Linked DNA regions of Mus musculus: regions 2, 3 and 4 are each reported to be linked to region 1. The links are microRNA targets in miRTarBase. Many come from high-throughput screens and were not tested one by one. Region 1 holds a microRNA gene; each other region holds the end of a gene's coding sequence.

Region 1 (7,116 bases):
GCGCGCACACACACTGAAAAAAAAAGAAAAATCAATATTCCAGCTCACACAACAGAACCTGCGGCAGAGCCCGGACCAACTCTGAGGCCCAGAGAGCACCGCTGACAGACCTTGGCAGAGCAGGGGGGTGGGAGGCTCTAGGAGACAATGCCTGGTGGAGCCCCCCACCCCCACACCCGGAAGGGTCAGATAAACACGCAAGTGTGCAAGTGGAAAGATCCCTAAGGATAAACAGTTGGAAGGAGCAAGGATTTATCTTTCCATAGGGGGATGGGGGAGAAGGGACGAGTAAATTAAGAAGACAGGAGGGGAAGAAGTTTCCAGGTAAGAATCTTCCCATGAAAATGTACCTTTCATTTTCCGTATCATCCAGCCACACTTAAGATGGAAAAAAGAAATGATACAGACGTTTTATCACAAAGAAAAACCAGGCCTGTTCTGAGAAATATCTGTGTTTTAAAAGATGCAGCTCGGTGGCCAGAGGCTGTGGTTTTCACCATAACCTGGGCTCTACCTGTACATTGACATTGCTGTCTTCTCTTTGGGGAGGGTGGAGGGAAGGAAGCCATCTAGTCATGTGGCCTCTCATCAATCCCTTTCTTCTACAAAGCACGCCTTCCTTCATGCCCTCCTCCATGCGTGCTTGGGGAACCACTGACAGATCGTGGATATGGACAATTCTGAGCACCTTGAGTTATACCTCCTTCGGATGCAGGAGACCTTGACTCCAGGTTCCACGCTCCACCCCCCCCCCACGCCCTCCACCCCCGTGCCTAATGTCCAGCAGGGGTCAGGACAGACAGACCGACCTTTGGGTTTGTCCCTGTAGGCGGTACAAAAGAAATTGCTATTTTTGATACTTTCAGGTAGCTGTTGGCCTTTTCTTACTTACAGTGGGCAATGGGCAGCTAATTCAAAAGGATGGCTTTTTAACTTTGATGAATTCTTGATTTAGCTTTGTTCTAGAATTCTCTTACCGAGAATTCCTCTCTCAGTTCTTGTAACACTCAGCCCCGGGGGAGGAGCCAAAGTGTCCTCCTCAAGGTTTCCATTTCTCACTCTGCTTAGGTGGCAGCCTCGTCTTCCCCAACCCAGCAGAGACCCAGACCCGAACTGGGCTCTGGCCTGGCCTAGCGGAAGGGGCTGCGGGCAAAGCTGTGTTCAGCGTCTTGCACACGGGCAGGATGGAGACCACGTCTACCCAGCCTGCCCACAAAGGGCTGAACCCAGAGGCCGGGTGGAGCCGGACTAGGAGCCAGGTGACCACCTGGAGTGCCGCACCCCGCCCGGCTCAGGCTCCGCCCCCACCCCGCCCCTCTGCCTGCCGGCTCCGCCCCCTTCCTCCTGGGGCCCCTTCGTCGTTTATTTGCATAAGGAGGCGGTTCCCCGCCCCGCCCAGCGCGCACGTGACCCTGAGGAGGCGGAGGGAACCTGCTGACTTGACACGAGCCGTTTTGCGGCTCCCCTTGGCGCGGAATAGCAAGAGCAGCCGTGACCTCCGACCCCGCCCGCCGGCAGCCAATAAGAGCGCAGGTCGTCTCCAAACCCAAAATTTCCACGTCGGCAAAAGTCAAGATGGAAGGGAGCGGAGCGGAGCGCCCACTGGAAGCCTAGCTCAGCGGCCCGGGGCGCAGAGGGCCGGGCTGCGGCGTGCGGGGGGCCTTTGGGAGGGCGGCCAGGCCAGACAGGCCGATGCAACCCCCGGCCGCAGCTTCGGAGCTCTGGCCCCGCGTTCTGTCGGCCACGCGCACCAACCGGGCAGGATGGGGACTGCGCTCTGCGGACCTGTTGCACGCGCGCAACAGCTGCTTGCGCGCAGTGTGTGGGGAGGCGTGCGGGACCCCGCACGGTGGTCCGGGCTGGATGGGCTAGGGGCGCCGGGCCTGTGTCGTGGACTGCATGCAGATCGGCTGCGGAGGCGCTGCCTCAGCAGGCAGAGGGAAACCGGGAGAGTGGGTGGGTGGCACCGAGGGGCCAGGGCTGCGTGGACGCGGATTCCCAGACTGTGCGCGGGCAGCTGGATAACCGGAGTAGTGTGGTGAGAATGGCTGGGGGAAGGGGAGGCCGCGAAAAGCCTGGCTTTCCCGGGACGTCCCATCTGCGGGGAAACTGGCTTGTGTTCGCCGGCTTTGACTCCCTGCTCCAGGAATTCGTTCTCATGAGGTCCTCCCCGCCCTCACCAACTTTCCAGATGGAAAGGTAAAAAGTTACCGCAACTTAGATTGAGTGAATTAGCTTCTTGCCAAAGTTTAGTAACAGGACCGGAGGAGGTGGGGGCTGGACCGGCAATGGATTCTTGTGTAGAGTAGGTAGGAAGGAGGGGGCATTGTGTGATTCCACTGGTCCGTTTGCTGTGACATTGCCACCAGAGTCTCTTAGGACACCCTTTCTACTGGATTTTTACTCCTGCTGACTGTGGCAGTAATTTTCCATAATTAACTATCCGTACCACTATTGGTCTCATCCTGGACTAAATTGCTTCTAATGAGTTATTCTTCTTTGCCTTCACTGGGGGCGAGGCGGGATGGCAGGGAGCACACCTGCAGGACGAAACTTCCAGAGGAAGACAGCCAGTTTGGTCTTTTGAGACAAAGTTCTGAGACACTCCGACTCTGAGTATGATAGAAGTCAGTGCACTACAGAACTTTGTCTCTAGAGGCTGTGGTCGCCGCCTCCCCGCAAGGGCCCTGGACGCCAAGCTGGTGGCCCTGTTGGCCACGTCGTTGCACCTTTCCTTTGGGGGAAGGGCAGCCCAGAGGGGGCACAAGGGCTTTGTGAAGAACCTGAAAAACTCCTTTAAAGTCAATGGGTTAGATCACATAAAGTAACTACCCCCCCCCATTTTTCTTCTTACCCTGGTGGACTGATTGCATATTTTTCAAGGTTATTTTTAAAATACTAAAATAGTCTGGCTTCACTTATTGAGCAAGGAGAGAAGGACCACAAGTTTATTGATGAGTGTGTTGGTATGTTCAAACTGTACCCTAAGAGAAGGAAATGCACTTGTGCCAAAGCCACAGGTAATGTGCCTTTTACTCAAATGCCCTGTTAGATAAATGAACCTGCAAGGATTGGGTTTGGATTTAGTTTCAGTTCTGAGTTTGATTTAGGCCCATCTCATTTTCCTTTTTTCTTTTCTTTTTTTTTTTTTGGGGGGGGGGTTGTTAATGGAAAGGAAGTACCTTTTCTAAGAAGGCATTTTGACAGTCATTTATGAGGTCAGTGTTTATACTTTGGAGCTGTGAGATACTGTACAGAGAAACTGCTCTCCTGGACCCTAATGGAATGTGGGTTGTGGCTGGCAGTTGCAGTTAATAGTGCGCTCTACAGTGGGCAGTGACTGGCATTGAACTGTATCCTGCTCCCGGGTCATTGCCCTATTTTGATGTTTATGGGTGTGGCTGGAGAGCGAATAGAGTCAAGGGATTACAAAACCGTCATTAACAAAGGCGCTAACCTGACACATGTATGTCAAGCTGTGACACCTAGTGATGAGCAAAAAGGAATGAAGCCTTCTTTGTTGCTTAGGGACAGCTCAGTCCTGGCAACGTTTGTAGAATGCTTCAGAAGCCCCGAGGTCTCCTGGAGTGTGACTCTGGGAAGTCTTGATCTAAAAAATGAAAATCCACCGCCTTTACTTCTGAGCACATTCCTATTGGAGTAGAGATAATGGGGAAGGGCCAATGGGAAAGTATTGGAGGAAGGACTTGCCAGTTGGCGGCACCTGTCTGGACCCCTAGCCAGGCGCTCTTCTGAGATTGTTAGCTACACCCAGTCTCCTTTCTTCCCACCAGTGACTGTTGAGCTTCATTGCTTCAACTCTCTGCCCAAAAGGTAGCTTAATCTTATTTTTGCAGTTGAATAAAGTGATCCAAATTCGGGTTCTTTTTGTTTTCATTTAAGATATAAGGTAAGCTTCCTGGTGAGGAGGGTTTCTTTCCTGATTTTTGTGAATGAATGTGTTCACAAAATACTATGAAACTACTAATTCTCACAATAGGCAGAACCAACTTTGTATGAGAATGCAGTGGCCCTTTGAGCAGATAAGGTGAAGTATCTGGGAGAGTAGCCATCCATGCAAAGGATTAGGTCAGGACTCTACCTTCAAGAAAGAGCCAGGTTTGGAATCCCTCACTTGGGTTCACCTGGTTTGACCTCATTATAAAAATGATTTGGTGAAAACTCTTGCTTTGGCCATGAGCGGGTTAAAGGGCCAGCCAGGAAGGAAGGCTTTGTGGCTTATCCTAGTGGTGTGCATGCTGGGAGTAGGGTCGAGGAAAACCAGCAGGCTGGGTGTGCTCTGAAGCTGGCATACTCCCACTGACTTTAGATATTGAGCAACCAGAGCCTTGTTACCAACTGAGCATCAGGTGTTAGATGCCAGGGTACAGCTGTGAGCAAAATCGGCTGACATCCGGTTCATTCTGGAGTCCATTCTCATGTTAGCGGTTGGCAATGCCACCATCATCAGGAAGGGTGTTAAGCATGACTGGGAAGAGGGAACAGCCTTTGGGGAAGGCTATGTGTTATTTTAACCCAGCTTGCTGAACCAGAGGGTACTGTCACCAGCACCCCAATTTGCATGGCCCAGGGCCTTCTTCATTTCCAGTAAAATAACTGAAGATGCAGCTGAATTGTATGTCATGGACACCAGTTGCCTGTCAGTACTGAACAAGCGTTTTTATTCGCAAATGCAAAGGTTGGCAACTGTGGGCATGGTTCTGGAAGATACCCACAGAGTGAGGAATTAGAGCATTGTGCCACTGGACCTCAGGGTTTTTTGTTGATAAACTCCAGGATTTTGGGTAACCTTGAATTAAAAAAAAAAGTTCTAGAAGCTCCCTGTGTACTCAGATATTCCTTAAGGACTTTTAAACTTACTTTAATTACCTGTCTGTGGGTATATGCACATGATTATTAATGCCCTAGGAGGCCAGAAGCATGGGTTCCCCCTGGACCTGAAATTACAAGCAGTTGTAAATTTCCCAACATGGGTGACAGGAACTGAAAAGAGCAGTGTCTTAGTTAGGATTTCATTGTTGTGAAGAGACACCACAACCAAGGGACAACATTTAATTGGGACCAGCTTACAAGTTCAGAGGTTCAGTCCATTATCATCAAGGCAGGAGCATGGCAGTGTCCAGGCTGGCATGGTGCAGGAGCTGAGAGTTCTACATCTTCATCTGAAGGCTGCTAAGAGAAGACTGGCTTCCAGGCAGCTAGAACTAGGATCTTAAAGCCCCTACCCACAGTGACACACTTCTTCCAACAAGGCCACACCTACCCCAATGAGGCCACACCTTCAAATGATGCCACTCCCTGAGCCAAGTGTATTCAAACCACCACAAGCAGCATGTGCTTTTAGCCACTGAACCATCTCTCCAGCCTCTCAGAAACTCAGTCGTCGGGAGCATAGTGGATACTCTTGTCTTGGGATTTCCAGGAGCCACGGGTGTGTTACCATTAAGTCCGCATGTGATGTTCAGGAAGCATGTGCTTAGCCCTTATTCTGTGACTTAAAGTGTTCTGAGTGGACAGTACATGTGGCATGGACAGGGGTTTCCTTGGGATAAGCACTTCAGACACAGACTGAAGTCTTAATGCAAAAGGGGGCAATGGCAGAACATTGGTCACACTGCTGTAGGTGAGAAGGACTAAAATCCCATATGGCAGCCTTGGAGACTGATGGAGGGAAGATGGGGAGGTTTCTCGCGATTATGATCCACACATTCATTAACTTGATGCTAGGAAAATTAGCAAAGGCTTCCCCGGAGGAAAAAGCCAACGCCAGGATGGCTTCTTTGCTTTGCTACTTAGCGAGTCTCTTGTTGCTCCTTCATAGGAAAATCAACCAGTGTAGCTGCTCAGCACTTAATCTGAGCCTAGCATAACTGTACAGTATTTAATTTGTGGGGAGTACCATTAGAAGCATTCACATGTTAAGTCCTTGTAGTTGATCATTCATGTGACAGACAAGGAAATTGAGGCATAAACAGATTACATAAGTTAACGCAGGCTTGCGGCTAGTCTGGCTGACGTCAGATACAAGCCATGTGTTGGTTTTAATGTCAACTTGCCACATATTGGAGCCTCACGTGAGGAATTGTCCTGGTTGCCTTACATATGGGAAAGTAAAACTTTAAGAATTTCGTTTGTATTTCTGTTGCTGTGATAAAACACTGGCCAAAAGCAGCATGGGAACTGAAAAGGGTTGGTTGGTTTGTTTGTTTGTTTGTTTGTTTGTTTTGATTATAAACTACACTCCACCATCAAAGGAAGCCAAGGCAGGAACAGAAGCAGAAGCCATGGGGCTTACTCTTCCTGGTTTGCTCAGCCACTGGCCCTCTCCCGCCAATCAACAATCAAGAAAATGCCTCCTACAGACATGCCTTCAGGCCAGCCCGATGGAGACAGTTCCTCAGTGCAGGTTCCTTCTTCCCAAGTGTGCCAAACCTGACAACCGAGATCAGCCATCGGAGCCAGCATTCAGAATCATTGTCTGCTCTGAGTAGCCATGCTGTATAGTGTAGTGCAACCAGGACAGTTCCTCACGCGAGGCTCCAGTATGTGGCAAGTTGACATTAAAACCAACACATGGTTTGTAGTGCAGTAGTTCTCAACCTGGGGGTGGGGAGTGTGTGTCAAATGACTTTTTCACAGGGGGCATATGTCACATGTTTACATTATGGTTTATAACAGAAGCAAAATTACAGTTATGAAGTAGCAACAAAAGTACTTTTATGGCTGGGGTTCACCTCGACATGAGGAACTGTATTAAAGGGTCCCAGTGTTAGGAAGGTTGAGAGCTACTGCATGTAGTTGTATTGTTTCTATGCCTAACTACGGTGCTATAAAACCTGGAAGTCTGAATTCAACCTTAACAGTGCTGAGAGCCAGGCATCTGCTCAATGCAAATGTTAGTTTTTTTTCTTTCGTGTGGGAGGTTGTTTTCCAGGGTGGCCATAGCACTACTTTGGAAAGTGTTGTACTATTTTGGATGTACTGCCCACATTACCACTGGGCAGAATTGAATGCTGAGAAAAAAATAGCAATTTCTTCAACAAGTGTCCTGGTTAAAACTGTTTGGGAAAAAAAATATAGAAGTAGGAATCAAAC
Region 2 (7,116 bases), not on the chromosome of region 1:
TAGGAGGGAAGACAGAGAAGAGGTGGTGGTTGAGGGCAAAGAGGTTCCTGAGCTGATGACAGAACAGAAGAGATTAGCAGGCTATCAACACGTGGGATGTATTGAGATGGCTCCATGGCACACTTTTGAAAGATAAAAGTGACTTGCTGGCGTGGAGCAGAGTCTGGCCGAATGTCCCTATCTCAGCGGGCCATTTTGCACTTCCTCTCTCCCGAGCTTAGTCACACCTGGACCTTGGCTGAAGTTTCCACAGCATCGACGTGACCCGGGTGGGGTGGGGGTGGGGAAGTATGGGTGGTGGTTCGTGGGATGTTGGCTTTGACCTTTTCTTCCCTCCTCCCCTCGTCCCCTCCTCCCCCAGACCGTGTTCTCTGAGATGCGCCAAGAGTGCAAATGCCACGGGATGTCCGGCTCCTGCACGGTGCGCACGTGTTGGATGCGGCTGCCCACGCTGCGCGCTGTGGGCGACGTGCTGCGCGACCGCTTCGACGGCGCCTCCCGCGTCCTTTACGGCAACCGAGGCAGCAACCGCGCCTCGCGGGCGGAGCTGCTGCGCCTGGAGCCCGAAGACCCCGCGCACAAGCCTCCCTCCCCTCACGACCTCGTCTACTTCGAGAAATCGCCCAACTTCTGCACGTACAGTGGCCGCCTGGGCACAGCTGGCACAGCTGGACGAGCTTGCAACAGCTCGTCTCCCGCGCTGGACGGCTGTGAGCTGCTGTGCTGTGGCCGAGGCCACCGCACGCGCACGCAGCGCGTCACGGAGCGCTGCAACTGCACCTTCCACTGGTGCTGCCACGTCAGCTGCCGCAACTGCACGCACACGCGCGTTCTGCACGAGTGTCTATGAGGTGCCGCGCCTCCGGGAACGGGAACGCTCTCTTCCAGTTCTCAGACACACTCGCTGGTCCTGATGTTTGCCCACCCTACCGCGTCCAGCCACAGTCCCAGGGTTCATAGCGATCCATCTCTCCCACCTCCTACCTGGGGACTCCTGAAACCACTTGCCTGAGTCGGCTCGAACCCTTTTGCCATCCTGAGGGCCCTGACCCAGCCTACCTCCCTCCCTCTTTGAGGGAGACTCCTTTTGCACTGCCCCCCAATTTGGCCAGAGGGTGAGAGAAAGATTCTTCTTCTGGGGTGGGGGTGGGGAGGTCAACTCTTGAAGGTGTTGCGGTTCCTGATGTATTTTGCGCTGTGACCTCTTTGGGTATTATCACCTTTCCTTGTCTCTCGGGTCCCTATAGGTCCCTTGAGTTCTCTAACCAGCACCTCTGGGCTTCAAGGCCTTTCCCCTCCCACCTGTAGCTGAAGAGTTTCCGAGTTGAAAGGGCACGGAAAGCTAAGTGGGAAAGGAGGTTGCTGGACCCAGCAGCAAAACCCTACATTCTCCTTGTCTCTGCCTCGGAGCCATTGAACAGCTGTGAACCATGCCTCCCTCAGCCTCCTCCCACCCCTTCCTGTCCTGCCTCCTCATCACTGTGTAAATAATTTGCACCGAAATGTGGCCGCAGAGCCACGCGTTCGGTTATGTAAATAAAACTATTTATTGTGCTGGGTTCCAGCCTGGGTTGCAGAGACCACCCTCACCCCACCTCACTGCTCCTCTGTTCTGCTCGCCAGTCCTTTTGTTATCCGACCTTTTTTCTCTTTTACCCAGCTTCTCATAGGCGCCCTTGCCCACCGGATCAGTATTTCCTTCCACTGTAGCTATTAGTGGCTCCTCGCCCCCACCAATGTAGTATCTTCCTCTGAGGAATAAAATATCTATTTTTATCAACGACTCTGGTCCTTGAATCCAGAACACAGCATGGCTTCCAACGTCCTCTTCCCTTCCAATGGACTTGCTTCTCTTCTCATAGCCAAACAAAAGAGATAGAGTTGTTGAAGATCTCTTTTCCAGGGCCTGAGCAAGGACCCTGAGATCCTGACCCTTGGATGACCCTAAATGAGACCAACTAGGGATCCAGGTCTCCTGAGAGAAAAGCCTGCTCAAAAGCTCCTGCAGGGCTCTTCCTCCTGTTCTGGCAGCAGCTGGTTAAGTGATGAGGACAAGTGTGTCACCTGATGGGGACTCAGCACACCAACAGTCCAGCTCTCCTAGTGCAAGAGCTGGGGAGGTAGCAGCAATGAAAGGAAAGGATAGCCATGACTACATCCTGAGAGGGGGGGGGGGAAGCTCAAGCAGAAAGGGTGTCATTGCCCCTGGGAGGCTATCAACCTTTTCTGCAGTCTGAGCTTTGAGCAGTGGAAGGCCCACCTCTTACACTCTTCCTGGAAATTCTTTATTAGCAACCCAACCCTAACCTACAGGTAAGGGACATCCAGGAACAAGCCATGGGTTAGAGCTGGAAAGATGGCTCAGAGGTTAAGAGCACTGGCTGCTCTTCTAGAAGTCCTGAGTTCAATTCCCAGCAACCACATGGTGACTCACAACCATCTGTTAATGGGATCTGGTGCACTCTTCTGGTGTGTCTGAAGACAGCTATGGTGTGCTCATATAAATAATAATAAAGAAATGATATTAAAGAAAAGCCATGGGTTAACAGTGGGCCCTAAACTTGAACTAGAAAACTTAAAGATGCTCATAGGGAAGAAGAAAAGAGCAGAAAGCTTAGCTTCTAGACAGGGGTAAGGCTTAGAGCTCAATAAAAAAGGAACCCCAAGAGTGATTGGTCCACAATCAAAGCAGTAAGCTAACCACACCCACAAAGAGCCAGAATGAGGATTCCTTATGACCTGCAGGCTACCTCTGTGCTTGCAGTCACCAGTCAGCAGGAAAGGAATCCTTCTCAGAGTACTCAACCTGACGCCAGTCATTTCTTCCTCCCTTCCTTGTCCAACCAGAGCCTTAGCCCTGACTCAGGGAACACTAACCCTTTCCAATACCTGACCTTCATCATAGCCCCTTCCCACCAGAGAGGACCCGAAAGGCATTGACAGAAGCTACAGAGGACCCCCGCCTTCCCAAGAGCCATAACCAGTCTCAATCAGCTCAGAGAGTTTCTTCTTCTTCCCAGGATCCTTTGCTGCAGGCTATCACCTCTGGGGAAGGGGGGGGGGAAGAGGTGGGGGGGGAGGGGTGAACTCTGACCCCTGTTGGTTTTTTGACTCTGTGAGTGGGTAGAGAAGTAGATTCAGGGCCTGCTCAAGCCATTTCCTTGCCTTTCTCTCCACTGGCAAAGCTAGCACTGGGTCAGTTCTGATGAGTGGATCCAACCTGGGATACTGGATGTCTGGATGTCTAAAAGGTTCTGGGTCTCCAGTGATGATCATCCAGAAGAGCCTACTCAGTCCTAACCCAAGCTGAGCTATCAGCCCCTCAGCGCTCCCAAAGTATGAAGCCATTGGGCTGTCCCAGGGCACAAATGTGTGTGTGTCTGTGTGTGTGTCTGTGTGTGCATGCCTGCACATGCTGTGTTGCACGTGTGTGCCTGTGTGTATGTGTGCATGCACGCATGTGCACATGCACGCTTGTGTGTGTGTGTATGTGTGTATGTGTGTGTGCATGTGCACGTGTGTGCACGCATGTGCGAGAGTGTGTACGCGTGGGCTGCTGTAACTCAATGTATCAGGGAGAAGCAGCAGAATGGAGGAACCAAACCATCGCCGACCAATCTCACCCAAATCCTAACCCAGGAACCTGGAAACTAGTGTGCTGAGCAGAGGTGTCTTTCAGGAGTTGGAAAGAGAGCACCACCACCCCCTTTTGCCCAGGTATTTGACACATCTTTTGTCTTCAGTCTTCTCAGTCCCATTTGCCTTGCTTGACCCTTAATTGAGAATATTCAAATATCCATCTTTGTTGTCGCTTAAGGAGGGGATAGGCTTCAAATGACATAGTGTCTGTGACAGCTTGGGTTGTGTGGACGGCTACTGATACCTTTTCTGTACTAGCCTCTGTCAAATGCTGGCAGTGCAGCAATCTACAAGCCAGAGGTCCAGCCAGGACTCAACCAGGCCAACAAACACTAACAGGCATAGAGGGAAAGACCCTCGGTGTGCAGGAAAGGCTTCAGCACCCTTCTCTTCCAGGGGCTGGAACTTGGAAGAAGTGTGCCATGGGAAAATGCAGAACAAAGCCAGGGCCCAACACAACATGCACAAATAAAAGGAAACACTTCAGATAAAAGTGCTGGAAATGTGTGGCGTGATGGTAGAGCACGTGTAAGGACGAGATGGGTTGGATCCCCAGCCGTGTGTGTGTGTGTGTGTGTGTGTGTGTGTGTGTGTGTGTGTGTGAAGGGGCTGTGGGGTCTACAAGTGTTGCCTAGGAGCTGAGGACTCTTTTGTCCCTATTACCTGTGTTATCTGCGCTGCCCTCTCAACTGGATCAGTAGATCAGTAAGGAAGGGGGGGGGGAGGTGCGTACCTAGAAAGAGTCTCAGGGCTCAGAACACAAGGCGCTGTCCATAAGATAATGAATGTCATCAGAAATATGCCTGACGCACCTTCCTGAGGCTTCCACCCACTCCTGATCTTTAGATGCCATGCAAATACACACCACACCGGGGACAGGGACCCTGGTCACAGAGCTGACCTCAGTCAGAGCTGTTGCGGGGACTGAGTCCTGAAATATCCCAGGGGTGGCGGAAAAGCTGAGAGGACCAAGACAGCCAGCGGGGCTGCACGGTCCCTGGGGGGTCAGCACCGAACACCCTGACACTGGCATCTCGGAAAAACCCTGTCAGTGGTAACTGCAAATACCAGAGGGTCCAACCCCCCCTTCCCTACGGCCCCAGGCAGGCTCAGTCCTTGGCTCCAGGGAAGAAAATAAGCTGTCTGGCTGTGGTGTGAGCAGGAACATCCGTGCAGAGCTGCCCACCAACTCACCCTTACTCAGTCTTTCCACACCATGCCAGGGCCGGGCATGAGACAGACCACCCCCTTACCCCCTCCCCCGTCTGGGCTAAAAGCAGACACACTGGGTTGGTGAGAGAGCAGCAGGTTATAAATATGCCCAAGGAACTGCCGCCAACTCGCTCCCCTGTCATCCCCTGGGAGGGGGTAGGGTGGGGTGACACCTAAGGAGGAGCCAGGGCTGCCCTATTCAGTGAGGCCCAGAGAGAAGTGGAGCCTCCAACCAGCTGCTGAAATATTTATTGATTTTTTTTCCTTTACCTTTCCCAGGTGAATGTGCCACCTTTGACGTGTGCCCTGGACTTTTGTCTACCCCACCCTCCCTGGTATATGGCCTTATGTCCAGCGTGAAAGGGCTCAAAGCCCTGGGCCATTTCCTTACACCCTCAAGAAAATAGCAGACTTTTTAATTCACTCACTGAGTGGACATAGTGAGGTGCGCATGCGCACCTGCAGCCCCGGCGCATGCACACCCTACTCCTGGGTGATCGTACCAGCTCCAGCCTCTGTTCTGCACGCTGTGCCTTCAACCTGGCAACCTCCCAGGGGAAGGGAAGGGAAGGGAAGAGAAGGGAAGGGAAGGGAAGGGAAGGGAAGGGAAGGGAAGGGAAGGGAAGGGAAGGGAAGGGAAGGGAAGGGAAGGGAAGGGAAGGGAAGGGAAGGGAAGGGAAGGGAAGGGTGCTATCCAGCACTAGTACTGTGCAGAGTAGGTTATATGAGAGGCTGAGAATAAGACCCCTGAATATGCTTCCCCCTTTGCTTTGCCTGGTGGATAAGTTCTTTCTCTTCCTCTCCTCCTAACCATCTTCCGCGTGAGTGACTGCTGTGTACCAACACGTAGGAAGGGACAACCATTCTGTGGGATGCTGAGGGTATGAACCAGGCTACTAGAGAATCCTGACTCCCAGACACTTGCTAAGTAGGTGCCCATCTAAGGCAAAAGGGGCAGCCCTCCTCTTCCAGGGCTGAGCCCCTCCCTTCTCCATCCTCCCTATTAATCCTCGGAAGTGAAGGGGCCGTCCCTGGCGGCCCTTCAGCCCTATTGTGGCCCCTCGCCCTCCTCGGCTGGCGTCTAATTAACTCCTCCTGCCCCTGGTTTTGTGTGCCCCCCTTACTCCACCTTGTCGGCCCCGCCCCTCCGCTCGGTCCGCTCCCCCCGACGGACATTCCAGTCAGGCCGGGCCAGTGTGCCAGGGCAACCAGGGCCAGACCGAGGCCTAATCCCCCCTCCACCCGGCCGGGCTCAGGGAGCCCCACTCACCTCCCGGCTCTCTAGGGGCTGCTCGGCTCTGCTGTGGCGGAGACACACAATCAGGACAAAGGCGCAGCCCCCAGGGGGCTAACTCAGCCTTCACGCCCAGGTTGTGCGGCATTTGGGGAGTTTAATGAATTGTCCATCACGCCTTTCAGGGCCCGCCCGTCAGCCTGGATTAATCTTCGGAGCCCTGGTGGGGCAGGAGACACTAAGCCTGTATTTATTACTCTCCCATTGTCACTAATTGAGGTAATTATCTGTGACTCTGGCCTGGCCAACAATGCTGCATTCACTCCTGGGACCTCGATGGGCCTGGCTCCCACTCTCAGCACCAACCCTCCCTCCCTTCCTCTCTAAAACGCGCCAAGGGCCAAGATGGGCCCTGGAGCATGTTGGGAAAGTGGACAACGTTCCACAATGTTCCACGTTCACGTAGTGTCTCCCAAAGCCTCCTCCACTATGGAGCAGTGTTGAGGAGAAACCTGGGTCTCCTAAAGTTGGTGAGAGAAGAGGGCACACAGGCTTGACCCGCAGAAACCCCAGGCCACAGCCAGCCTGGCATGCTTCATTCCTGGGTAAATGGCACTAAAGTCTCACGGGGCCTTTCACATGTCCCTGTAGCCTACAGGACTCTGGAGTGCTAGAGGGCACATACTATTCCCTGCTAGATGAGAGGTTCTGGAAGCAGAAGCTACCAGAGTTGCCAGAGCGGCAAAGTTGGAGAAAGTTAACAAGAACAGGATAGGGCGCAACAGGGAGCAGAAGGGCAGGATGCAGAAGCATCCTAGGAAGAAGCAACCCAAAGTCAGAGCATTCCCCAGGGATCACACCAATGTGACCATCAATTAGTGCCATGCAGCAAGCTGGAGAAAAACCCAATTTAGAGTAGATGTCATATGAAGATGGCCTTCTGGGTCAAGGGAATATTCCTGGAGAACGTGTGTGTGTGTGTGTGTGTGTGTGTGTGTGTGTGTGTGTGTGTGTAATGCATGTGCATGTGG
Region 3 (7,116 bases), not on the chromosome of region 1:
CGCTCATATTCATCTGCCTCCGCGTCTGGAGCACCGTGCGCTTTGTCCTGACGCTCTGTGGTTCCCCGGCTGTACAGACACCCGTGCTGGTTGTTCTGCATGTATGTCTGTTTCCGTGGGCCCTGCTACCCTACGGTGGCACGGCCAGATCCCCTCCCTACAGGCGCATCTCAGGTCCCAATGTGTTAGCCAGGATGGGAAGCGGGGTAGCTCACCATCCCATTCCTGTCCCAAAGCAGGCGTGGCTTGGAGTGTCCACTTGTCCTCAGCAACCTAGAGAAGCCCTCCCTAGCACAGTCCTCTGTCTGATCCCGGGTTCTTCTCAACGCAGAAGGCCTAACTGCAGGTGGGCTGGGTGGCCAGTTTTGACCTGTTGAGAGCTCTGGTTAAGGCCACGTGTCTGAGCTCATCCCACGACATTTTAGAGGCAGGAACAGGAAAAGTCATGGGATTCACAGGAGCCCACCAACTCCCCATGATTGCGTTTCTAAGACACCGCAACCTTGTATTTACGCCTCTTCCCCATCCCCTACAGGGCATTGGAAACACCTTCCAGGGAGGGGCCAACTGCATCATGTTCGTCCTCTGTACCCGGGCAGTCCGCACAAGGCTCTTTTCTCTTTGCTGCTGCTGTCCTCGGCCCTCCACCCAGAGCCCTCCGGGGGCTCCTACGCCCCCCAAGATAGGAGAATCTCAGGAATCCAGACGGACCCCAGAAGTGCCCAGCACTTGAGCGGTTGGCTTTCCTCCCTGTCCGTACTGGCGCTGCCTTCCTGGTTCCTGCTTCAGGATTAGGAGACCAAGCATGCTGTCAGCCTGGCCTAAAGTGAAGATCGGAGCCCAGTGGAGGGACAGCCATCAGTATGGACTCTTCTACCTCCCAGACTTGCAGGCAGGCAGTGTGTTCCTTGCACACTCATGTCCTGGTTCAGTGGGGTTTGTTTGTGTAAGCACAAAGACCGTGAGACTCAGCTATGCGGGATACCGCCAGGGCATTGGTTCTCAGTGTCCCCGGCCACCAACGTTGTTTACAGTTGGAGGGATCCGTACCTGTGGACCCATCCCAGGCTTGACTGAATAATAATGAACACCATCTTGGATCCCAGACATCGCAGTATGGAGTCCGGGCTTGCCAGGGCGTTGAGAATCCCTAGAGACCCTGGGGGTAATTAGCAGTGCTGGTCAGCTGAGGGTAATATCCTTAAACTAGGTCCCAAGTCCACGGAAGTCACAGGAGACTGCCATCATTGATGAAAACCACCCGGGCACACACTCATGGGCATCTCACGGAATCTCTGCGTGGGTCATCGCCCCTCAGTGTTTATTACATCTGAATTTCAGCACAGGCCAGAGTCCAGAGTCCTGTCCATTAGTCAATCACTTAACATCCTCGTTCCCTCCAGGTACCAGGACAGAAGGCAGCTCAGCTCCAGCCCCTATGGACAATTACCAGTTCACCTACTGTTCTCACAGAGCCCTCTCCTCACGGTGACTCATACAGGGGGAGGGGGTCTGGCTCTGCACTTTGCTTAGGAAAGGTGACCAGTGAATGGATCTGATTCCACCCTGAAGGTGAATGTTTGAAGAGTCAGCCTCGGGCTGGCCTGTAGCTCCGTGTAGTTTCCAGGTTGGTCCTAGCACCCCAAATACTTAAAAGGCCTTTGTGTTTTGTAGTTATCTGGGGGATATAGAAATAGGATTCTGAGATGATTACATTTTATTTTGTTTTTTTGAGACAGGGTCTCATGTGGACATGCTGGCCTGGAACTTGTTATGTAGATCAGGCTGGCCTCCAACTCACAGAGATCCACCTGCCTCTGCCTCCTGATAGTTACATTTTTAAAAAAATGTTGTGTTGTGTTGTGCCTGTTAGGCAGGTGCTCCGCCACTGAGTTCAATCCCATGCCCCTCCCCACTCCCTTTTTTTTGAGACATAATCTTACTAAGTTGCCTAGACTGGCCTTCAACTCTCAGTCGACCAGGCTGGTCTTGAACTTAAGATTTTCCTACCTCAACTTCCCAGGAAGCTAGAATTGTCGCCTTTGGCTAGCAAGCCTGGCCAGAGCGGGGCTTAACTGAGATCTGCTCAGTGGCTCTTCCACCCACACATCCCTCATTTCAGAAAGCAGTGTGTGCCGACGTGCAGGCTCTCGGTGTGGGAAGTGTGCCCGCCACCTTGCAGTCAAGGTGAGGTAGCGCCCTTGGATTCTGTCAATACCCTCACAAAACCGAGAGGATGCTCAGAGCCTGGCTCAAGATGGAAGCAGAGTCACACGGGGCATCAGCGCCCATCTCTATCAGGAAAGGAATAGTCGCGCAGAGGGCTGTGTCTGTATGCTCCTCTTCTGGCTTCCTAAAGCATTTCTTTAGGAAACTCTACAAGAGGTGGGTTCCCTTTTGGGAGTCTAAGAAAGCTCCTTGGCTTGGTACTCTGTCTGCTTACAAAACCAGTCTGTGTAGGGTGTCCTGAGATCCTGTGAAGATATTACAGCCAATGTGTGCACTGTCAGCGTGTAGCGCAGCGGTAATGGATCTCCTGGCTTCTAAAATGGAACAGAAATTCTAGGAATTTGTCTCCTGGAGGGGAGAAAATAAACCACCAAATACTACGGAGGAAATGATGTTGGATAAACCCAGCTGGACAGAGCAGTGTGAAACCCTGGCTGTTTGGGGCTTTGTTCAAGGAAAGGCAGGCAGGGGGCATCCGAAAGCCCTGCTCCTGGAGCCTGGGGCTTACCCAAGTTTTCTCTGATGCCACTGGCCAGGATTGCTGTCCGTAAAACCCCCTACAAAGTCTACACTTGGCTCTTTCCATCTGTTTCCCATGCTGCCCTGTCACCGAAGGTGGCTGGTGGTGACCCGAGGCCCGGTGCCTGACCTCTAGCCCTACGTGCTCACAGACATCAACCTTAGCTCAGCCGGTGGCCAAGTGGGTCTTCTAGGCAGCCAGGGTTCAGAGCTGAAGAGGAATAGAAGAATCCTTGGGGCCAGGAGGGGCCTTAGCACCGGTGAGGACCAGCTCCCCTTTGCTTTGCTCAGCCTCGTGGGTTCCTATCTCTACTAGGAAGTGTCATTAATATCTGTCTGTCCGTGTTCCTCTGTCACCCAAATGTGACCTCAGCCTTAATGGGTGCTACAGCCCCCACACCCTTCTTAAGCACTTTATGAATTTTTTTTTTCCGAGACAGGGTTTCTCTGTATAGCCCTGGCTGTCCTGGAACTCACTCTGTAGACCAGGCTGGCCTCGAACTCAGAAATCCGCCTGCCTCTGCCTCCTGAGTGCTGGGATTAAAGACGTGTGTCACCACCGCCTGGTACACTTTGTGAATCTTGTTCTGCAAATCCGTTGCCAGCTGCTTCCTGCCTTTGACTTTCTGAGGCAGAGAGAGAGAGAGGGAGAGAGGGAGAGAGGGAGAGAGAGAGGGAGAGAATGTGTGTGTGCGTGAGATATTATGCTCTAGCATTTATCTCTCTTCATTTTTTTTTTTTGTTTTGTTTTTTAAGTTTCGAAACAGGGTTCTCAGGCTGGAGAGATGGCTCAGCGGCTAAGAGCACTGACTGCTCTTCCGAAGGTCCTGAGTTCAAATTCCAGCAACCACATGGTGGCTCACAACCATTTGTAATGAGATCTGATGCCCTCTTCTGGTGTGTCTGAGGACAGATACAGTGTACTTATATATAATAAATAAATAAATCGTTAATTTTTTTTTTAAAAAAGAATCAGGGTTCTCACTACTTGTCCAGGCAGGCCTTAAGCAGTTTTACTGTTTCTGGGATTACAGGCCTATGCCACCCCGAGCCGGCTTTTTAGTTTGTTCTCTCTGTCTCTCTGTCTCTCTGTCTCTCTCTCTCTCTCTCTCTCTCTCTCTCTCTCTCTCTCTCTCTCTCTCTTTCTCTCTCTATGTGTGTCTCTTTCTCTCTCTGCCTCTCTGTCTGTCTGTCTCTCTCTCTGCTTCTCTCTCTGAAAATAAAAATAAAAACTATTATGTGTCCAAAGTACAAATGAGACCATATGTGTTTGTTTGTATGTGTACGGGTATTTTGTGTGTACGCAGTTCCCTTAGAGGCCAGAGGGACTCTGATCCCCTGAATCTGGAGTCATAGCTGTGAACTCTGGGCAAAGGGAACTAAGCCTGGGTCCTTTGCAGGAACAGCAACGCTCTTATCTGTTGAGCTAGCTCTCCAGCCCTCTCTGCAAATGTTTGTGTGAACTCACAGTTGTGGTATAATTAAACCTGGCATGAGATTTTTTGGAAGTGTGATGTTAACTCTCGGTGAAAGCCCGACCTCTTGCTGTTTTAAATTAAAGGAATCGGTCATTTTCTCCCCGTGTTTGCTGAGCTGGCTCCACACTGATGTGGGAGGGGTGAGTGAGGCCAGTCAGGCTGGCCTGGGAGTGGCTGAGACTTGGAGAACCCTCTTTTAAGGTTATAGTCACTGGCCACATACTTAGGCTTTGCCAAAAGAGAAGGTGCAGGTACCTGCTATGATTGGCTGCAGCAAACCCTACCACCACCACCACCACCACCACCACCTTGTCTAACTTCTGTCCTTAAGTCCCAGGCCAGTTTCAGTCTGTAGCCCTGAAGTCACAGCCCTCTCCTGTCAGAGCCTTTTACCTTTAGCAATTGGTTCTCATACGCAGTGTTTCCCACCCTCCCTGACCTCTGTGACACGCTGCAATCTTGCATGAGCCTCTGTGACACCCCCTCGGCCCTCCCTGACTCTCCAGGACCCTCTCTGGCCCTCCACAACACTCCATTCACACTGACAGCCATACCTTTCCTTTCCATCCATCCCTCCTGCCTGACCTGACTGCCAGCCTCACTCTGAACGCCAGCTCCTGTCTTCTTCTCCTGCAGCACCCCAACTCCATCTAGACCATGAGTCTGAACTTCGGCTTCTCACTGCTGGGATCTCAGGCCTGCACAGCCACGTAGGGTCCACGTATCCAGTCTCTGGATGTGGCATGCCCGGCTCCCCTGACCTGGTGCTTTCCACTGTCTCCCAAGCTATCTCTAACCTTCTCCCTGCAGGAAAGGCAGCTGGCTGCTCCACGATGTCCCCCATGCTTGGTGGCCTCTTCCTGCCCTTACCCAGTGGACACATGACAGGATGACTTCTTGTGCCCACAGATTCCCCAGCAGAGCTCTAAGTCATTTCCTTCTGGGACGGTGCGTTCCAGGGACCAGCCCAGCATGCGCCTGTAACCTAGTTTCATCTCTGTAGCTGAAATAAAATGTCCTGACAAAAAGCAATTTAGAGGCTGAGCCTGGTGGCTCACACCTCTAATCCCTGAGCTTGGGTGGTAGAGGCAGGCAGATCTCTGAGAGCTCAAGTCTTCAGAGAGAGTTTCAGGCAAGCCAGGGCTACATGGTGTCTCAAAACACAACAAAAAGCAGCTGAGGAAAAAGGTTTGCTTTAACTTACCAATGCAGGCTACATATAGTCCATCGTCTGAAGAAACAGTTGCAAAACCTCAAAGCAGATGATGATACCACATCCACAGTGAAGAGCAGAGTAAGGAACGCATGCACATTTAATAATCTTAGACAACCCAGGGCCCAAACCAGAGAATGGTACCGCTCACTCTCAGGCTGGGTCTTCCTACATCTTCCGGGGCAAGAAAAATAATTCCCCGCAGACATGCTGTATTAGTCAGGGTTCTTCAGAGCCACAGAACTTGTGTCTTTATATATTAAAGGAAGCTATTGGAATGACTTACAGTCTGCAGTCCAACTAACCCAACAATGGGCAACTGTGAATGGGAAGTCCAAGGATCTAGTTGTTGCTCAGTCCCAGGAGGCTGGGTGTTTCAGCTGGTCTTCTCGACGACAGATGTGCTGGCAAGTAAGCAAGAGCAGCATGGAAGAAGCCTTCCTTCTTCCATTATCCTATGTGGGCTTCCAGCAGAAGCTACGGCCCAGATTACAGGCATGTACCACCACGCCTGCACCTAAGCTGTTCTTTACTTGGAACTTGCTCTGTCCCAGGCTGGCCTTGAACTCAGAGATCTGCTTGTCTCTGTCTCCTGGGATTAAAGGCATGCACCACCTTGCCTGGGCCTAAGCTTTCCATGGCTACTCTGATCCAGATTAAAAAAAAAAAAAAAAAAAAAAAAGCCTATGTCATCCTGTGTCAAGATCCGGGTCAGAAGCCTGTGTCTCCCAGTCTCCCAGCCTCAAGATCTGGATCACAGGTGTGCCCTCCATTTCTGGATTGTAGTTCATTCCAGATGTGGTCAAGTTGACAACCAGAAACAGCCATCCCACATGCTGTCTCCGTAGGTAGTGTTTTCTGAGTAATGAACTATGAGGACCAGAGTTCAAGAGCCAGCACTCACTGGAAAAGTGTAGCATGATGGTGTGTGCCTATAACCGCAGCACAAGGGAGGGAGGCAGAGACAGGACCCCTGGGTCTTATCGGATACCGGAGACCAGTCCGATCAGCAAGCCCCATGGGTCCAGTAAGAGACCCATGCTCAAAAGATGGCACCAGAGGAATGACACCTGATGTTGTCCTCTGCCTCCACATGCACCACTTGCACACACGTGCACACACATGCACACACATGAACACATGAAGAAGGAGGAACCGGTAGAATGAGAAGCAGGCAAAGGTAGGAGATGTGACCCCGCAGAGAGTACCCGCCTTGAGCTCATGGTCACAGGGCCCAGGTCACTAAACACTTCCTGCTATCTCAGAGGTTCTCAGCCCTCCTCATGCTGAGACTCTATGCGCAGTTCCCCATGGTGCCGTGACCTGCAGCCATAAAGTTCTTTTTGTTGCATCTTCATAACTAATTTTGGCACAGTTATGAATCGTAATGTAAATACCTATATTTTCTTCTTTTTTAAAAAGATTTATTTATGCTTATGAATACACTGTAGCTGTCTTCAGGCACACCAGAAGAGGGCGTCAGACCCCACCTCGGATGGTTGTAGGCCACCATGTGGATGCTGGGAATTGAACTCATAACCTCTGGAAGAGCAGTCAGTACTCTTAACCACTGAGCCATCTCTCCAGCCCCAATACCTGTATTTTCTAATGGCCTGAGGCAACCCCTGCGTAAGGGTTGTTCAACTCCCACAGGGGTCACGACTCACAGGTAGAAAA
Region 4 (7,116 bases), not on the chromosome of region 1:
TAAATCATGTGTACATAGGGACATCCTTGCAAACCAGCCTTCTGCAGCTCTCTAACATGGTCAAACAGAAGTGGGATTTTTCACACCAGGAAAAGACATTTTCTTCTTCTTTTTTTTTTTTTTTTTTTTTTTGGTTAAATTTTGGGACAGGGTTTTGAATTCACAGACCCACCTGCTTCTACCTCCTGAGGGCTGGAATTAAAAGTGTGCCTTATCATGCCATGCCCATAGCTCTAATTTTAATAGACAGCCAACTTGTTTTCCAAAAAGGTCTTATTTTTTTCTTAGCATGTGACTACATTATAAAGTAGACCCCCGCATAGGAGAGTCCTTTAGAAATGGAACAATCCGGTACGTAAGTTATTTTGGCTGTGACCCAGAAGATACTAGGCATACTTTCTTTTGAAGGGAGACCCTCAAGTCAGACTTCTTGCTTCCTCCAGGACTTCTCCAGGCCTCGACCACCTCAGAAGGCACTCCCAGCCAATCCGGTGCCAGGCCAAAGGACCGGTCCCAGGTCAGGAGGCACCTCCCTGCTTCAGCCCCCTACTTCTGGTCCTCAGCCCCCCAGGCCTCCAGCAGTGCCTGTTCCAAAGGTGAGTCCACAGAAGGACCCAGAAGGACCAGAGAGGAAGTGTGTGGCTGAGAAGGCAGTCCCGTGCCCCACGCTAGGTTCTAGAACAGAAGCAGAAATGAACACGTAGCCTCGCTTGGAGGTCTATTTGGCTGTACCTTACATGAGCAAAGGGAGGTTTGAATTTCCTTGAGAATGAAAGCGTCACACAGAAGCCTAAGCTCTGGTGGCTTTGATGGCACCTGAACAGATAGGCCACCTTGAGTAAATCCTTATCTCTTGATAAGAAGGCTTAAGATTGGCCGGCAAGGTGGTTCAAGGTAATTTTTAAAAAGGCCAGAGAAGCAGCAGGGACCAGCTCCATGACATTGCTCTGAAGGCCATTAGTTTATACAAGCCTGTCAACATATGTCCCTTTCCTTAACGCTTCTCTCTGCCTGCCATGTCCTCGGCTTAGTCTGGGGAGTTGGGTCAGAAGGGGTGAGGCAAGAAAGCTGGTTGCCAGCCCGTATCCCCTGAAGCACTAGGGAACTAGATGTACTGAAACTTGATGGAAGAGGGGAGGGGCTAAGTTTCCAGCTTTGGGGGTGGCCACACAATTGCTCTCACTACAAGGGCCAATGGCCCTGGAATGCAGCCGCGGGGACAGACTTCTGAGCAAGAGGACACTTGCCCACAGTCCCACTGACCAGCACTGAGGTCACATCGTTTTTTGTTTTTGTTTTTTTTTTTTCCTTTCCAGCTACCCGAGTACCGATCACAGAGGGTTGGAGCAATAATTAGCTCCAAGATCTAGAAGTGTCGAGAAGTTTCTTGTTCCGATGGAAGACTCCGGATGCCATGGAAGGTCCAGAAGAAAGACGCCTTCTCACCCATCCTGAAGCTTTGGCAGCCTTCTGGAACGTCCCTCATCCCCAGAATCTCCCTTCTTACCCGAGTGCCTCCTGCTTCCTCCGAGGCCCAGGGGGACTCATATCCAATGGCTCCTAAGTGTTTGTCCTGTGCAATATACAGCCCAGGGAGGGAAGGGAAGCACGGCGAGGAGGGTGGGAAAGGTTCTCCCTCAGCCCACTAGCCAAGAGCTACCAGCGATGCTCAGGGAAGGCTTGAGCTGGGGTCCTCCTCTGCGGAGCTTGGAGAAGGTACCCATCCTGGTCCTATGCTGGCAGGAACACACGCGAGTGTCACTGATTGGCCTCCTTCTGGGATCCCAGGCTGCTGAGGAAGCTACTGCTACATCCCTACCCCAAGGGGCTTGGTCAAGGTGCCTGTTCCTGGCTCTCTGGCTGCATGTGATAAGCCATGCTCCCCTCCCCTGCCTTTCTTCACATTCCCACTCCCATATTTACACGGGTCACTCTGACTCAGACAGGTACTATTTGTAAGTAGCATAGACAGCAGGGGGGTGGGGTGGTCAACCTGTGTCCCCTCTGAGCCGTTATGCCAAAGGTCACTAAGGACATTTAGAATCCCCATCCATCCATCCATCCATCCATCCATCCATCCATTCATCCATCCCCAGTGTTCCATGTGTCACCTTCTCCTTTTCCAGCATCCCTATCCTATGGTGCTTTGGTGGTGAACTATGGCAGTCCTGACTTGCTGATGACCATATGCTGGTGACCTACAAATCGGGATCCTGCCATATGGGGTCGCCACTGGACTTTCTGCACTGGATCTCAAGAGCGTTGAGCCGAGTGGGCGTGTATGTGTGTGTGTGTGTGTGTGTGTGTGTGTGTGTGTGTGTGTGTGTGTGTGTGAAAGAGACAGAGGCAATGAGAGAGACAGACATGCAGGCAGGCCGACAGCTCTGCATGTACTTGTGTTTTACGGCCTCAAGCAGAATAAGGGACCTCCTCCTTATTTCTGACTCATATCTAAGTAAGGTTCCCCAGGACAGCCACAGTTGTACTGAGGGGGGCTGACATGTTTGGCATCCTGGCTATAGTATTGTATACACAGGGCCACCAGCCCCGCCCTAGTGGTCAGCTCTGAGGGGGGACTGGTGACTCTGAACAGATCGATGTCAACAGCCATGGTGAACCAGATCTGGGCAGGGTTCCCCAAACTCTATTCAACCAGAGTTTTATCACGCACCTCATCGGGTCTCTCCTGGTTGCTGCCCCGAGGTGATCGTCATGGAAAATGCTGAGAAGGTGGGAATGGGATGGGGTGGACCTTCTCTTGCTTGGTGCTCCGCTATTTGGAACAGTTCTTACACATTTGCTGGGCCTGGCCTCTGAGAGGCCATCTTCCACCCCCAGAAAGGTGCTAATGGCACTGCAGAGGGCTCTCTAGGGGCCTCCCCGCCCCAACAGCAAGCAGTTGTTAGCTCTTGGAACCCTCCAGAGGAAGAGGCAAGCGTTTGACTTCCCCTTTACCACCTGAGGCCTCCTTATATCTCTTCCCAGAGTAAGCTTTGGGATTGTAGACATGTGGGAGCTATGACAGACGTGGCCTGGGGTAGAAAGATCTCAGGAAAGCACCTTTCTCCTTTTCAGGGTGACCGTGCTCTTCACACTCTCTGAGGCCTCAGTCCATGTCCTATATCAGTTTCTCTTTTGTGTGCTTTACCAAGTGGCCGGTGACTACAGGCCACCCCGATTCTCACCACAAAGTTAGAAACCCTCCACTTTCTGTCCCTTGAACCATATCAGAAAAAGACCCATTTCCTTGCTCTTTGGTAATCACTTCTGTTTTTTTCTTTTTCATTACTTTGCTACCACCTCCATCCCATGACATTATACTGTGAAGTGTAAGAGGACGGGGTTTTTTTAAACTTGGTAGAAATGTCGGCAGCTGCTCTACACACAACTTCACTCAAGGCTTTGTTTCCAGAGGCCAGCTAGGCTGTCACAGGCAGGAATCCCTTCCCATCTGCTTTGTGAAGGGTCCCATACAGGTGTATCTAGACTTCAAGGACAGGGTTTGTCTCACAGGATTGTCACTTAGGAGATGAAAGAATATTACCACATGAGGAGGAGGGGCAGTTGCAACAGAACACTTTGGTCTTCCTACACCAAGTCTGTGAGGGCATCCAAGACTGAATGAAAGCGCTTTTCTTATGCATACAATGTGAGCAAGAACAAGAACTGTTTAAGGCACCTCTGTTCCCAGCCACTGAAGAGAGACGTCAGAAGATGTTAGAATAGGTCAAAGCCAAGGCTCTGGTGGGCTGAGGGAAGGTTTGTAGCTGCGTTTAGTGGTATACATCTTTAGTCCCAGCATAGGCAGGTGAATCTCGAGTTTGAAGCTAGCCTGGTCTAAAAAGGAAGTTCCAAGACTGCCAGGGCCACACAGAGGAAAAAAAAAACCCTCTAGAAAAACAAAAATGAAGACAGGATCTCATGTATCGTAGATTGGCCTTTAAGTCACTTTACCAAGGATGATCTTTGAACTCCTGAGTACAGACTGCGGGTGTGTGCTACCATGCTTTATGTGGCCCTGGGTTCAAACACAGCCCTTCATATGTATATAGCCAAACACTCTACAACTGAGCTACATCCTCCAGCCTAGGCTGTAAATGTTTTTTGGAGCTAGATTAGCTGCCTGCCAACCTTAGAACTGCAAAGCCATTCCTGACCTGTAAACCTCAGCTCTCCATCTCTATAAGAGGTATAGCCTGGGCTAATACCGTCCAAGTTACAACTCCTTGCTTGCTTTCTGTTCCTTCTAGCCTTGGTGACTTCCACCAGGAAGAGAATACCCCCTCTCTACCCCTGCTCCAAGACACTGTAGATGCTAGTGTCGGAGTGTTCTCTGTAACGCGACAGTTCCTTCTGTTGCAATAGCCCCCCTGCAACACTGCAATAATCCTTCAGTGTCTCCCCTGGGCTCAATTCACTTCCTTATTTGACAAAGTGGAGGTGAGACTTGTATTCTTAAAATTGGAGGCTAGTTATTTTGTCAAATGCATGTAATGAACAGACCCGAAGGAATCCTCCACACACAAGCCAGGGAACACCAACTGGAAAGGTACCCCGTCCCAGGGAAGCCTGCTAGGGAGAGGTTCTGTAGAATCCGAGCCTAGCACCCCAAAGTCATGCACCCAGTATCCTCTTGTATGACTGTATATGTCTATGTCTGGGATCCAGGGCAAATGTGAATTTTCTTTTGATTTGGGAGATTGTTCACAGGAAGTAGTCCTCCCCTCTCATGTCCTCCTATTGATTGTTTACAATATTTGTACATCTATGCAAAATACTTGAATGGGCCATGGTGCCTTGTTTTTTGTTGTTGTTGTTATTTTTTTCTCCTTGTTTGTATTTAATTAAAACAAATTGTCATGAGGAAATGTTCTCTGTTTGGATGGCTCTTTTGTGTGTGAACTGTTTCGGTAATCCCACTGCCAGGACCACTTAAGACATGTGATGTGAACGTCTCAGAGGACTCATACAGACCAACAGCCTTCCAGTCGGCCATGACCTGTGCCACAGTGATGCCCCGGGGTTTCCCATGGCCAGTAGTCAGGGCTGCCTGCTTTGTACCTGTGCTCAAGATAGTCTGGTTTCATTAAATCTTGGATTACCAAAGGCTTTCATAATCTTTTAGATTCTAGAACATTCTTCTACACTATTAACTTTAGAAGACAGCTGAGATACTCTGTGACCAACTCTCTTCACTAGGGGGTGTGCTTTAATGAAGAGGAGAGACTTAGTGTGGGTCCCGGGCTGAGTGGGTAGGTGCAGGGAGGCCAGCTTGTGTGCACTTAAGATTTCCCAGGTCTGTGTGGAGACTGCTGGTCTCTCACCAACTTTTACCCATTTCCTCCCAGCCTCTGTTTTGAGGTTTTCTAAGATTATTAATAACCACAGGAGTTTTACTGTGTAGGTCTGAATGAAAATGGCCCCCATAGAATCATAAGGAGAGGCATTAATGGAGGTGTGGCCTTGTTGGAGTGGATGTGGCCTTGTTAGAGCAAGTGTGTCACTGGGGGCGGGCTTTAAGGTTTCAGAAGCTCAAGCCAGACTCAGTGTCTCTTCCTGATGCTTGGGGGTCCAGATGTAGAACCCTGAGATACCTCTCTAGCACCAGGCCTGCCTGTGTGCTGCCATGCTTCCCTCCATGACGATAATAGAGTAGACCTCTGAACTGTAAGCCAGCTCCAATGAAATGTTTTCCTTTATAAAAGTTGCCATGGTCATGGTGTCTCTTCACAGCAATAAAACCCTAAGATAGTCATCTCATTGAACCCTCATGTAAATGCTAAGAAAGCATCATCCTTCGTATTTCATATGCTTTTTGCCATATGCCTGGCTCCTAGTAAGGTCATCACCTCTACATGAATGGTACTAAGAAATACAGCAACCTTCCCTGTTTGAGTGAGGGCAGATCTTGGAAGACACAGGAGGGCTTTGCTTTGGAGATCAGGGACTGGCATCCCAGTATGTGAGAGGAACCAGTGGAGTGAATTTGCTCCGTGTACATGGAAGGTCAGGACATTTGTCAAGTAAACACACCCTGAAGTCTTTATTACTGACCCCAGAGCCCACGTTCTCAGAACCTTCAGTTTACTAACCCCCCCCCCAAGATCCAGTGTGTTGCATTGATTTCAGTCACAGTCAGAAATCCACATTCATGAAAATACTGGGGATTGGGAAGGTATAGGGCCCAGAGTGTTGATCTGCCCTAAGAGCTTGTCCAAGGCCAGAAACAGTTTGACCTGGGTGTGGTTGTACTTAGGGGATCAGATTCGAACACAGGATCGTATTTTGACAGTGCTACGTACACTGAAGATCAAGTTTCCCCTTCCCCACAAACTGGCTCCTAACTTCACTCTCTTATGCTCCTTGTGTCAAGTCTACACTTTCACAGCTGTAAGAACTGGAAGAAAAGGCTCTCTCTCTCTCTCTCTCTCTCTCTCTCTCTCTCTCTCTCTCTCTCTCTCTCTCTCCAGCTGCTATTCTCTGACTGCTTCTGGCCAAATGTAAGGTCACCAAAAGTGACCCTAAGAGCAGGTGATGGTGGAGGACTCATGGCATGCTGTTTCCAGTGTGGGCAGCTAGGTTGTCAATGGAGATAAACTCAGTTCCAGTTGGGCCAACAAGGCTGTGTCAAGCCTGCACTCCCATTTGATTATTGGGATTCTAATCCAATTCCACTAGATACAGCTAGGAAATTTCCCCAGAGGTCTGGTCCTTGCTCGAATCTGAGTCAGGCCAAACATTATGTCCAGGTTTCCATAGAGCCCATGACTCCATTCAGACAACCATGACATTGTGTCTTATACTCTCCCCCTCTTCCCCAAGTCATATCATAGTCAATTTCTTGATGCAAAGAAATTGCATTCTGCTAAATTCCAGCATGACAGCACAGTGCTGTTCTCTTCCCAGAGGCTGCTAGGTGAACATGGGTTTGAACAGCGGAGCTGGACTAGGAGGCATCCCCTGCTGTTGGTTCTAAGGCTACAGCCTACACGTGTCAGTGACTGGTATCTTGGGATGGGCAGAGAGGGAAGGATAGTAGTGCCTGCCACTGGAGGCACAGACAACAAGATGTGACCTCAAGTGCTTGGAGAATGGGCCAGTTGAAACTTCCCTGAG

What was found. The annotated mature microRNA mmu-miR-148a-3p reads UCAGUGCACUACAGAACUUUGU and lies in region 1 at 2,629-2,650, shown strand. An mRNA with a match to its seed (bases 2 to 7 or 8) in the 3' UTR can be bound and repressed. Matches are read on the target gene's strand: a 7mer-m8 pairs with bases 2 to 8, a 7mer-A1 pairs with bases 2 to 7 and ends in A, and an 8mer does both.
Region 2: the mRNA of Wnt1 is a reported target of mmu-miR-148a-3p. Seed matches in the 3' UTR shown: 7mer-m8 at 1,089-1,095.
Region 3: miRTarBase lists Gpr157 as a target of mmu-miR-148a-3p. Seed matches in the 3' UTR shown: 7mer-m8 at 2,500-2,506 and 7mer-A1 at 3,552-3,558.
Region 4: the mRNA of Adam19 is a reported target of mmu-miR-148a-3p. Seed matches in the 3' UTR shown: 7mer-m8 at 2,243-2,249.

Annotation. Positions count from the first base shown.
Region 1 is chr6:51,265,363-51,272,478 of GRCm38, reverse strand. It overlaps Mir148a (microRNA 148a), which reads left to right and starts at 2,569; the gene lies at 2,569-2,667. It overlaps Gm38821, which reads left to right. Exons shown (of 4, transcript XM_011241556.1): 2 at 1,069-1,272; 3 at 1,527-2,199.
Region 2 is chr15:98,792,055-98,799,170 of GRCm38, forward strand. It overlaps Wnt1 (wingless-type MMTV integration site family, member 1), which reads left to right. Exons shown (of 4, transcript NM_021279.4): 4 at 362-1,776. The coding sequence ends at 850. Among named protein-coding and RNA genes, the nearest start is that of Wnt1, 5.8 kb to the left of the region's middle.
Region 3 is chr4:150,101,677-150,108,792 of GRCm38, forward strand. Gpr157 (G protein-coupled receptor 157) reads left to right here. Exons shown (of 4, transcript NM_177366.3): 3 at 1-101; 4 at 536-4,251. The coding sequence ends at 733. Among named protein-coding and RNA genes, the nearest start is that of Slc2a5, 14 kb to the right of the region's middle.
Region 4 is chr11:46,142,476-46,149,591 of GRCm38, forward strand. It overlaps Adam19 (a disintegrin and metallopeptidase domain 19 (meltrin beta)), which reads left to right. Exons shown (of 23, transcript NM_009616.4): 22 at 444-596; 23 at 1,317-4,872. The coding sequence ends at 1,370. Nipal4 (NIPA-like domain containing 4) reads right to left here. Exons shown (of 6, transcript NM_172524.3): 6 at 5,680-7,116. Among named protein-coding and RNA genes, the nearest start is that of Gm35624, 20 kb to the right of the region's middle.